Linked DNA regions of Oryctolagus cuniculus. The protein of the gene in region 1 purifies or fractionates together with the protein of each later gene. This does not show direct contact. Links are inferred from orthologs where the notes say so. Each region holds a gene or a part of one and is shown on either strand. Other genes may lie near its edges.

What was found.
Region 2: the proteins of LZTR1 (region 1) and RIT1 purify together in Homo sapiens (affinity purification with mass spectrometry; 3 studies listed by BioGRID and IntAct, counting the BioPlex papers as one, with this or other methods). This does not show direct contact. The link is inferred for Oryctolagus cuniculus from reciprocal best matches to the Homo sapiens genes LZTR1 and RIT1.

The regions. Positions count from the first base shown.
Region 1 is NC_091452.1:29,736,272-29,740,547, forward strand, and holds the start of LZTR1 (leucine-zipper-like transcriptional regulator 1), read left to right. Parts: upstream 1-1,280; 5' UTR 1,281-1,382; coding exon 1,383-1,582; intron 1,583-1,998; coding exon 1,999-2,061; intron 2,062-4,276. Other genes in the region: AIFM3 (apoptosis-inducing factor 3), read left to right, coding at 208-247. UniProt on the Homo sapiens protein: Substrate-specific adapter of a BCR (BTB-CUL3-RBX1) E3 ubiquitin-protein ligase complex that mediates ubiquitination of Ras (K-Ras/KRAS, N-Ras/NRAS and H-Ras/HRAS).
Region 2 is NC_091438.1:42,787,015-42,791,442, forward strand, and holds the start of RIT1 (GTP-binding protein Rit1), read left to right. Parts: upstream 1-1,622; 5' UTR 1,623-1,655; coding exon 1,656-1,752; intron 1,753-1,936; coding exon 1,937-2,041; coding exon of another isoform or gene 2,042-2,085; intron 2,086-2,584; coding exon 2,585-2,641; intron 2,642-4,428.

The DNA.
Region 1 (4,276 bases):
CGCCAACCTCTGCCCTTCCTGTTCACACCTCTTGTCCTTCCGGGTCACGCCTCCGACTCTTTCCCGTCTCAGCCCAGAGCCTGCACCTTTGTCTGCCCAGATGCTCATCCCCTCTGGGCCCCAGGGCTGCCACAGAGCAGGCCCGAGTGGGGAGCCTGCGCTGCTCTCCGCCCGCCCTGAGCCCCATCTCTCTCCTCATTCCCGCAGGACTGGCGACATGTCCTGGCTCACCGGGAAAGGATCCTGAGCTTCACACGCTGGATCTGGGCGGCCATGCTGGGGCCCCAGGGGCAGAGGCCGAGCCCCAGGGGCAGGTGCCAATCAACCTCCAGTTTCCCAGGACTTCCCAGGGCAGAACCCGAGTCCTCTCACAGTGCTTGCCTTCAGCAGCCTGGCACCACCCCCTTAGAGAGGCATCGACTGCCTGCAGAAGATGCGCACGCGCCCAGAGCCTCGGCCGGCACTGACAGCCTGCACCGGGGGCGCGCCAGGCGCTGCTGCTTTAACCGCGGTTGGGTCAGGTCGTGTTAGATAGTACCTGAACATTAAAACGCACACATTCCCAGATCTGTGTGACTCCCGGTGTAATCGCTATCAGGCACGAGCACAGAACGCTAGGTGTCACGACAGGGAAGCTTGGCCCCTGAGCACACCCCCGCCCGCCCCCATCTTCCCCACCAAGGCCAGACGGGGCTTTTCAGCAAGTGCCTTTGGCTTTAGCAGACAGGTAGAAGCGACAGCAGGTGCAAAGGCACACTTTGTGGGGCGGTCTGCAGGAGCTGGTCCCGACACAGACCCCACGCCGCTCACTGCCGCCAGTTTTCTGCAATCCCATCTCGCAGGTGACAGAAGTAGGAGTGAGAATCTGGAGGCTCCGCGACACCGGGAGCCGGGAGGCTGGAGGTTCACGGCTAGGGAGGCGACAGCCAGGAGGGGCTCGGCGGGTCGCCGACGGGAGCCGCTGCCGAGCCCGGAACCCATAGTCTGGGTTTCCGGAAGTGGCGGACGATCCCAGCCGCAACCCCGCGCAGACACAGGGCATGCCGGGAAACGAGATCCCGGTCTGATGGGTTTGCGGGTGGAGTGGGCCTAGCAAGCTCGGGGGAACTGGAGACGGGACACCTCAGTCCCTGGCGCCCATATTTCGTAAGAAATGCGTTCTAGAGGGTTACACGCTGGCCACAAGGCCAGAGACCAGGTTCCGCGCTCGCCCGTCGCGTCACGCAGAGCGCTAGGCCTGCCGGGAAGTGCGGGCCGACGAACCCCCGGAGCTGGCAGGAAGTGCCGCTCGCGTCGGCGCAAGGCCCGTCGGGAGATGTAGTCCCTCCGGGGCGGTGGCCGCAAGTCCTGCGGCCCCGGTGGCCAACCCGGCGGGACCCGGGATGGCTGGGCCGGGTGGCTCCGGGGGCCCGATCGGGGCCGGGGCCCTGGGCGGTGGCGCGCGGTCCAAGGTAGCCCCAAGCGTGGACTTTGACCACAGCTGCTCGGACAGTGTCGAGTACCTGACACTCAACTTTGGGCCGTTCGAGACGGTGCATCGCTGGCGGCGCCTCCCGCCCTGCGACGAGTTTGTGGGTGCCCGGTACGGCGGCGGGGTTCAAGGGGGTCCCAGGGCGGGGTCCAGGGGCGAGACCGAGACGTGGTGTTCCGGGGCTGCGATCTGGAAGTGGTGATGACGGAGATGGTGCCCGTGGGACGGTGTCCGGAGCTGGCGAGGGTGTCGGGGTGGGGTGGGACACCTGCGCAGAGTCCGAGAGCTGTTGATCTGGTGGGTCTCGGGTCGAGGGGGTCCCTAGGTGCCGTGTCGTGGGATGTCCAGAGAGGCCCACGTACAGAGTCCTTTGGGAGGGGTGGGTTTAGAAGTCTCTGGATCCTGGCAATTGTAACCTGCTATCTGGGTCATGTGGCAGTCCTCATGCGTAGTTCTGTTCTTTGGGTGCCCCACCCACCCACCCAGGACCCTGGCCTCACCAGCCATCCCCCTTTCTTTCTTTGCAGCCGGAGCAAACACACGGTGGTGGCTTATAAAGATGCCATCTATGTATTTGGTGGTGACAACGGGTGAGTGACTGTGACTATCCGGGTATTTGGACCAGGCAGGGAGAAGCATTGTGGGATAGGGCTTGGGCCCTTGCACGCGGGGAGCTGGAGTGAGGAGCAGAGCTGAGACTTGAACCCTGGTGCTCCGATGTACAATGCAGGCATCCCTAGCAGCATCTTTTTTATTTTTATTTTAAGAATTATTTTATTTATTTGAAAGTGTTACAGAGAGAAATAGAGCCAGAGAGAGAGAGAGAGGTCTTCCATTCCCCAAATGACTGCAAGGGCCAGAGCTGAGCTGATCCCAACACAGGAGCCAGGAGCTTCTTCAGGGTCTCCCACGTGGGTGCAGGGGCCCAAGGACTTGGGCCATCTTCCACTGCTTTCCCAGGCCATAGCAGAGAGCTGGTTTGGAAGAGGAGCAGCCAGAACTTGAACCAGCGCCTATATGGGATGCCAGCACTTCAGGCCAGGGTGTTAACCTGCTGCGCCATAGCGCCGGCCCCTAGCCCCCTACTCTGTGTCCACCCCACCGTTCCCCATTCTGTCCCCTCCTTGCACTGGGCCACGCTGGCTGCCCTACTGCATGTGCACTGCCCTGGCTCTTCCCTGCCTGTCCTATGATGCTCCTTGTGAGTGAGACCCTCCCTGGCCACCTGGGCATACAGGCAGCCATCCCCTCCCCTGCTCTTCTTCACTGTCTCCCTTGGTCCCTGTAGCACATAGACATTGGTGCTCGTTGCGTCTCTGTATCCCAGCCCAGACAGTGCAGGGTTTGTCCACTGAACAGATGAAAGAAGGGAGATCCCGCCCGCGGGTGTTAGCCGGAGAGAGCGGGAGTGCCGGGGCAGAGCAGGTGTTGGTGTTCTGCCCAGGGCAGTGGGTGGGAAATAGACCCCTCCATTCTGCCTAGTAGGCAGTTCGTGTGTGGCAACTGTGTAGCAAGAAGCCCAGCCCTTTCTGTAAGCTGCTACATACAAAGTGTCAAAAGACAAAAGGCGGTTGGCTTTTATTGGTAATTCAAAAATCAGTACAACCTCTATCATACAAACTCGGAGGAGCAGCCACCTTGGCTGGTAGAACAGGGGGTTTTATAAGGTTGGGGCTAGGGCACTAAGCAACAGACAAGAACCCTGCTGGGTGAGGCGTAGGTTGCTGCAGTTTACATTTTTGGTAACGGTTACAGTGAAGGGGACTTGGTTGTGATGCTGAATCAGGTGTGCCGGCTGCACCTGTTTGGGGATCTCTCCACTTCCTTTGATTTTCTGTTTACGAGGCGTTTAGCAGGAGTGACGCCATTTTGGTTTGGCCTAGCGCAGGAGCTCAGTCTGAAGCAGTGGCCTCCCAGGATTCTGTTTAACAATGGGGACACCAAGAAACAGGATGCAAACTTGTCTTTCCCTGGGTGTGGTTTTTTCCCCTGGGTATGCCAAAGAAGGGTGGCTTCCTGGGGTGTGAATCAGGAAGGGGTGGCCTCAAGTTCAGCTTTTTTTTTTTTTAATTATTTATTTATTTATTTATTTTTTGACAGGCAGAGTGGACAGTGAGAGAGAGAGAGAGACAGAGAGAAAGGTCTTCCTTTGCCGTTGGTTCACTCTCCAATGGCCGCCGCAGCCGGCGCACCGCACTGATCCGATGGCAGGATCCAGGAGCCAGGTGCTTTTCCTGGTCTCCCATGGGGTGCAGGGCCCAAGCACCTGGGCCATCCTCCACTGCACTCCCTGGCCACAGCAGAGAGCTGGCCTGGAAGAGGGGCAACCGGGACAGAATCCGGCTCCCCAACCGGGACTAGAACCCGGTGTGCCGGCGCCGCAGGCGGAGGATTAGCCTAGTGAGCCGCGGCGCCGGCCTCAAGTTCAGCTTTTTTATCTCCCAGGCTGTTTCATCTTCTATAAAATGGAGATGGGGAGCACACACACACACTCCACCGTGCACACTGAGCAAGGCGGAGCCTGGTGTGAGAACACCCTGGTTGCGTTTTTTACCCCCTAAGGCCAGGAGATGGGGAACTCCATCTGGTCTCCACAGCGGGTGGCAGAAAGCCAAGCACCTGAGCCATCACCGGCTGCCTCCCAGGGCGCATTAGCGGGAAGCTGGATCTGAAGTGGAGATTAGGGCTTGAACCCAGGCACCTGGATACGGGCTGTGGGCGGCCCAGGCGGCGGCTTAACCCATTATGCCACAACGCGCGCTCCGGTTGCTACATACACAAGGAGATGAGAGAGGACAGGCACCT
Region 2 (4,428 bases), on another chromosome or scaffold:
GGGAAATGCTAGCTGGATCCTGAATAGGGAAATGAAGTTATTTTTTCATTGTGACTTTTTAATCGGGGTGATCCAGAGTTGGCCCCTTCAGGCACATGTGTCAGAGAGCCATTGTATTTTTATTGCCCTTCTAAGCTCCTGTTTTCAGCTGAGTCAGAAAACTACTTGACTAAGAGCTGGTCAGAACTCACCACAAATACGAAACACAGTGGTCTGTGTCTCTGGGAACTGGTTGCGGCTGAGGAGAGAGTGGCTGCTCAGTAGGATGGTGGACTCAGTGACTGGAGTTGCTACATGTCCTTTTTCTTGGCATTACAGGTTTTGCCAAAAGAACTTTTTTGTATCAAATATTGATGTGTGAAAGTGAAGGAGCTAGTCTGCCGAACCAGGAGTAGTTTGAGATACTGAACTGTCATTTTTGCACATTTGAATACTTTACAGGCTGGCTTTGTATAAACTTATCCTCTGGTTTCCTATATGTTGTAAATATTTAGACCACAATTTCATTATAAATAAATGTATAAATATTCTGCTTGTGTTTCTGTCTTTTTCTTCCACGCCCATCCATACGCTGAAACTTTAGCATAATGTGATTGGATCCTCACCAGAAAGATACATACAGATAATTCTTAGAGTTTTGTAACTGCAAAAAAGTCCACGTTAAAATTTTTCAGGGTTACCATGTTGGTGTTTTGCATTTTGTTTTAGCTTTCCTTTATCAGTGGGTTAAAGACAAAATTTAATTCACTAAATAATTTTAAGATAATTTATTTAATTTAATGCCACTCATTTTAGTATCTTCATGTATTTAAAATACATGCTTAAGGCCGGCGCCGCGGCTCACTAGGCTAATCCTCCGCCTTGTGGCGCCGGCACACTGGGTTCTAGTCCCGGTCGGGGCGCTGGATTCTGTCCCGGTTGCCCCTCTTCCAGGCCAGCTCTCTGCTGTGGCCTGGGAGTGCAGTGGAGGATGGCCCAAGTGCTTGGGCCCTGCACCCCATGGGAGACCAGGAGAAGCACCTGGCTCCTGCCTTCGGATTAGCGCAGCGCGCCGGCCGCAGCAGCCATTGGAGGGTGAACCAACAGCAAAGGAAACCCTTTCTGTCTCTCTCACTGTCCACTCTGCCTGTCCAAAAAAAAAAAAAAAATACATGCTTAAACTTGGTCTCGGGAGCACAAGTCCTTGTAGCAGCCCCTCTGGGAAAGGGCTTTTCCTGCTTAGGATCTCAGGGTCAGCGGACGGGCCTTCCCCTTTCCCTCCGTTAGCCTTGCATTGGGCCAAACATGAGTTGTTCACTAGCAGCCAACAGCCCAGTACGTGCGCGCTGGCCTGGGCGATGGGACGTGACAGGGCAGCCCACTGAACCAGGTCACGGACCAGGAAGACAGATGGCCCGTCCCGGCGGGGGCGGGGCCTGCGTGCGTCGCCGGCGCCCCGCCCCTCCCGTCAGACACTGCGCCATTATACCCGGCTGTGGGAGGGGACAGTGCCGGTGCCCCGGCGCGAGGGAAGAGGGCGAGGTGGGTTCCCCGGTTCGGCGGGCGGGCGGGAGTCTTGCCGGCGCCAGGCGGGGCTTCGAGGGGTGCGGAGGCGCAGCGGGGGGCGGGAGGTGCCTCCGGGAGGGGTGGAGCCTCGGGACTGCTGACGGGAGCGGATGCCGTGCCCTCAAACCTCAACCCTTCTCCCGGGTGTGTTGCTGCCCCATTCGGAAAAGAGACTCCAAATTTCTGTTGGTTTTTATCGAAAACGTAGTAAGTGGAAACCCGCCATGGTGTCACAGGACCGCACAGTCTAGAGTGAGCGAGCGAGGCAGTGGGATTTCTTAGTGCCGCCAGAAAGGGTTCCGAGTGCACGGGTGGGACAGGCTGTGTGGTGAGGGACGGTGCTGGCTCCGGGTCTGCAACCTGGACCGGATATTTTTTACTCTCTTCCTAGGTGGCTTTTCTTTGGGACAGCCCAGGACTCCCCCAAGAGAACAATGGACTCTGGATCTCGCCCAGCTGTTGGCTGCTGCAGCAATCCTACAGGACTTTCACGCGAGTACAAATTAGTGATGCTTGGCGCGGGTGGCGTGGGGAAAAGTGGTAAGGGCACATTTTCCTTTTTTTTTTTTTTTTTTAAGATTTTATTTATTTATTTCAAAGTCAGAGTTAGAGAAGGAGAGGCAGAGAGAGAAAGTGAGAGGTCTTCCGTCCGCCGGTTCACTCCCCAATTGGCTGCAACGCTGGAGCTGTGCCGATCCAAAGCCAGGAGCTGCAAGCTTCTTCCGGGTCTCCCATGCACGTGCAGGGGCCCAAGGATTTGGGGGCGTCTTCCACTGCTTTCACAGGCCACAGCAGAGAGCTGGATCGGATGTGGAGCAGCTGGGACTTAAACGGGTGCCCATATGGGATGCTGGCACTGCAGGCAGCGGCTTTACCCGTTGCGCTTCAGCGCTGGCCCCACATTTTCAGTTTGACAAGATGTAAGAAAGAATTGACCTCTGCCAAACCTAATGGGCTCCTGGCTGTTGTGCAGTTGATATTTGGAATTTTCATCTATGGATCACCTTCATGAGGTTAACTTTGATTTCTTGTTTTGAAGCCATGACTATGCAGTTTATCAGCCACCGATTTCCAGAAGACCATGACCCCACCATCGGTAAGCCCACTGTACTTTGGGTTTCCCTGTAAAAGTATTTTGAGGGATGTCGGTTTTAAAAAGATTTTTTTTTGTTGTTTTTTTGTTTGTTCTCAATATTTTTTATAGTTTATGAGGTTTTTTTTTTTTTTTTTTTTTTTTTTTCAAACTAAAGCTTTTCTTAAAAAAGATCTATTTGAGAGGCAGAGACAGAGAGAGAGAGGACTTCCATCGAATGGATCACTCCCCAGATGGCTGCAAGAGCCGGAGCTGGGTCGATCTGAAGCCAGTAGCCTGGAGCTTCCTCCAGGTCTCCCACATGGATGCAGGAGCCCAAGGACTTGGGCCATCTTCTTCTGCTTTCCCAGGCCATAGCAGAGGGCTAGAGCAGAAGTGGAGCAGCCAGGATTTGAGCTGGTGCCCATATAGGATGCCAGCACTGCAGGCAGCAGCTTTACACACTGTGCCACAGCACCAGCCCTAAAAAATGATTTCTAACTATATTTTGAGCCATTTTTGGTGTCATATTTGTTTAGAGACAAGCGTGGCATAGCAGTATGTAATTAGCTGAATGTGTCTGCTTTTATACTTTTCTCTGTGTACATAAGCTGTCCTTAGTTTCTATCTTATTAAATATTTGTGGGCCAACTTTCTTTGTCTTCTTAATGGTTGGTATATTATCAGATTAAAGGAAGAGCTTAACGGCCACTTAAGGGAGCCTTTTCTTGCTGTCAGTTCTCTAAGGGTCTCACTGGAGACTGACTCTAACTATGAGTCAGCTGCTTGCTGGTTTGAACTTCCACAGAAGGAAGCAGAAAAACAAGTAGAGCCAGCCTACTGAACTCTCACAACCCAGACATGCTGGAAGCCCTCATTTTACTTCCTTATGTCTCAAGTTCACTGTGCAGTCATGTCTTCTCATGTCTTTTGTTTCATTTTATGTTTTATAAAGATTTACTTATTTGAAAGGCAGAGTTACAGAGACACACATACACAAAAAGAGATCTTCCATCAACTGGTTGACTCCCCAAATGGCTGCAGAGGGACTGGGTCAGGCTGAAGCTGGGAGCCAGGAACCCCATCCAGATTTCCCACATGGTGACAGGGGCCCAAATATCTGGGCCAACTTCTACATTCATGGGTGCATTGGCAGGGAGCTGTATTAGAAACAGAGCAGCTGGGACTCAGACCAGCACTGTGTTACGGAATGCAAGCACTGGCATTGTGCACAGCAGTTTAACTCACTGGGCCACAGTGCAACCCCTCCCATGTCCCTTTTTTTTTTTTTTTTTTTTTTTTAGATTTTATTTATTTATTTTTTATTTTTTTGACAGGCAGAGTGGACAGTGAGAGAGAGAGAGAAAGGTCTTCCTTTTGCCGTTGGTTCACCCTCTAACGGCCGGCGCGCTGCAGCCGGCGCACCGCTCTGATCCGATGCCAGGAGCCAGGAGCCAGGAGCCAGGTGCTTTTTCCTGGTCTCCCATGGGGTGCAGGGCCCAAGCACCTGGGCCATCCTCCACTGCACTCCCTGGCCACAGCAGAGGGCTGGCCTGGAAGAGGGGCAACAGGGACAGAATCCGGCGCCCCGACCGGGACTAGAACCCGGTGTGCCGGCACCGCTAGGCGGAGGATTAGCCTAGTGAGCTGCGGCGCCGGCCGATTTTATTTATTTCTTTATTTGAGAGGTAGGGTTAGAGAGAGGGAGAGACAGAGACAGGTCTTCCATCCACTGGTTTACTTTCCAAATGGCCACAATGGCTGGAGCTGGGCCAATCCAGGAGCCAGGAGGTTCTTCCACCTGGGTAGAG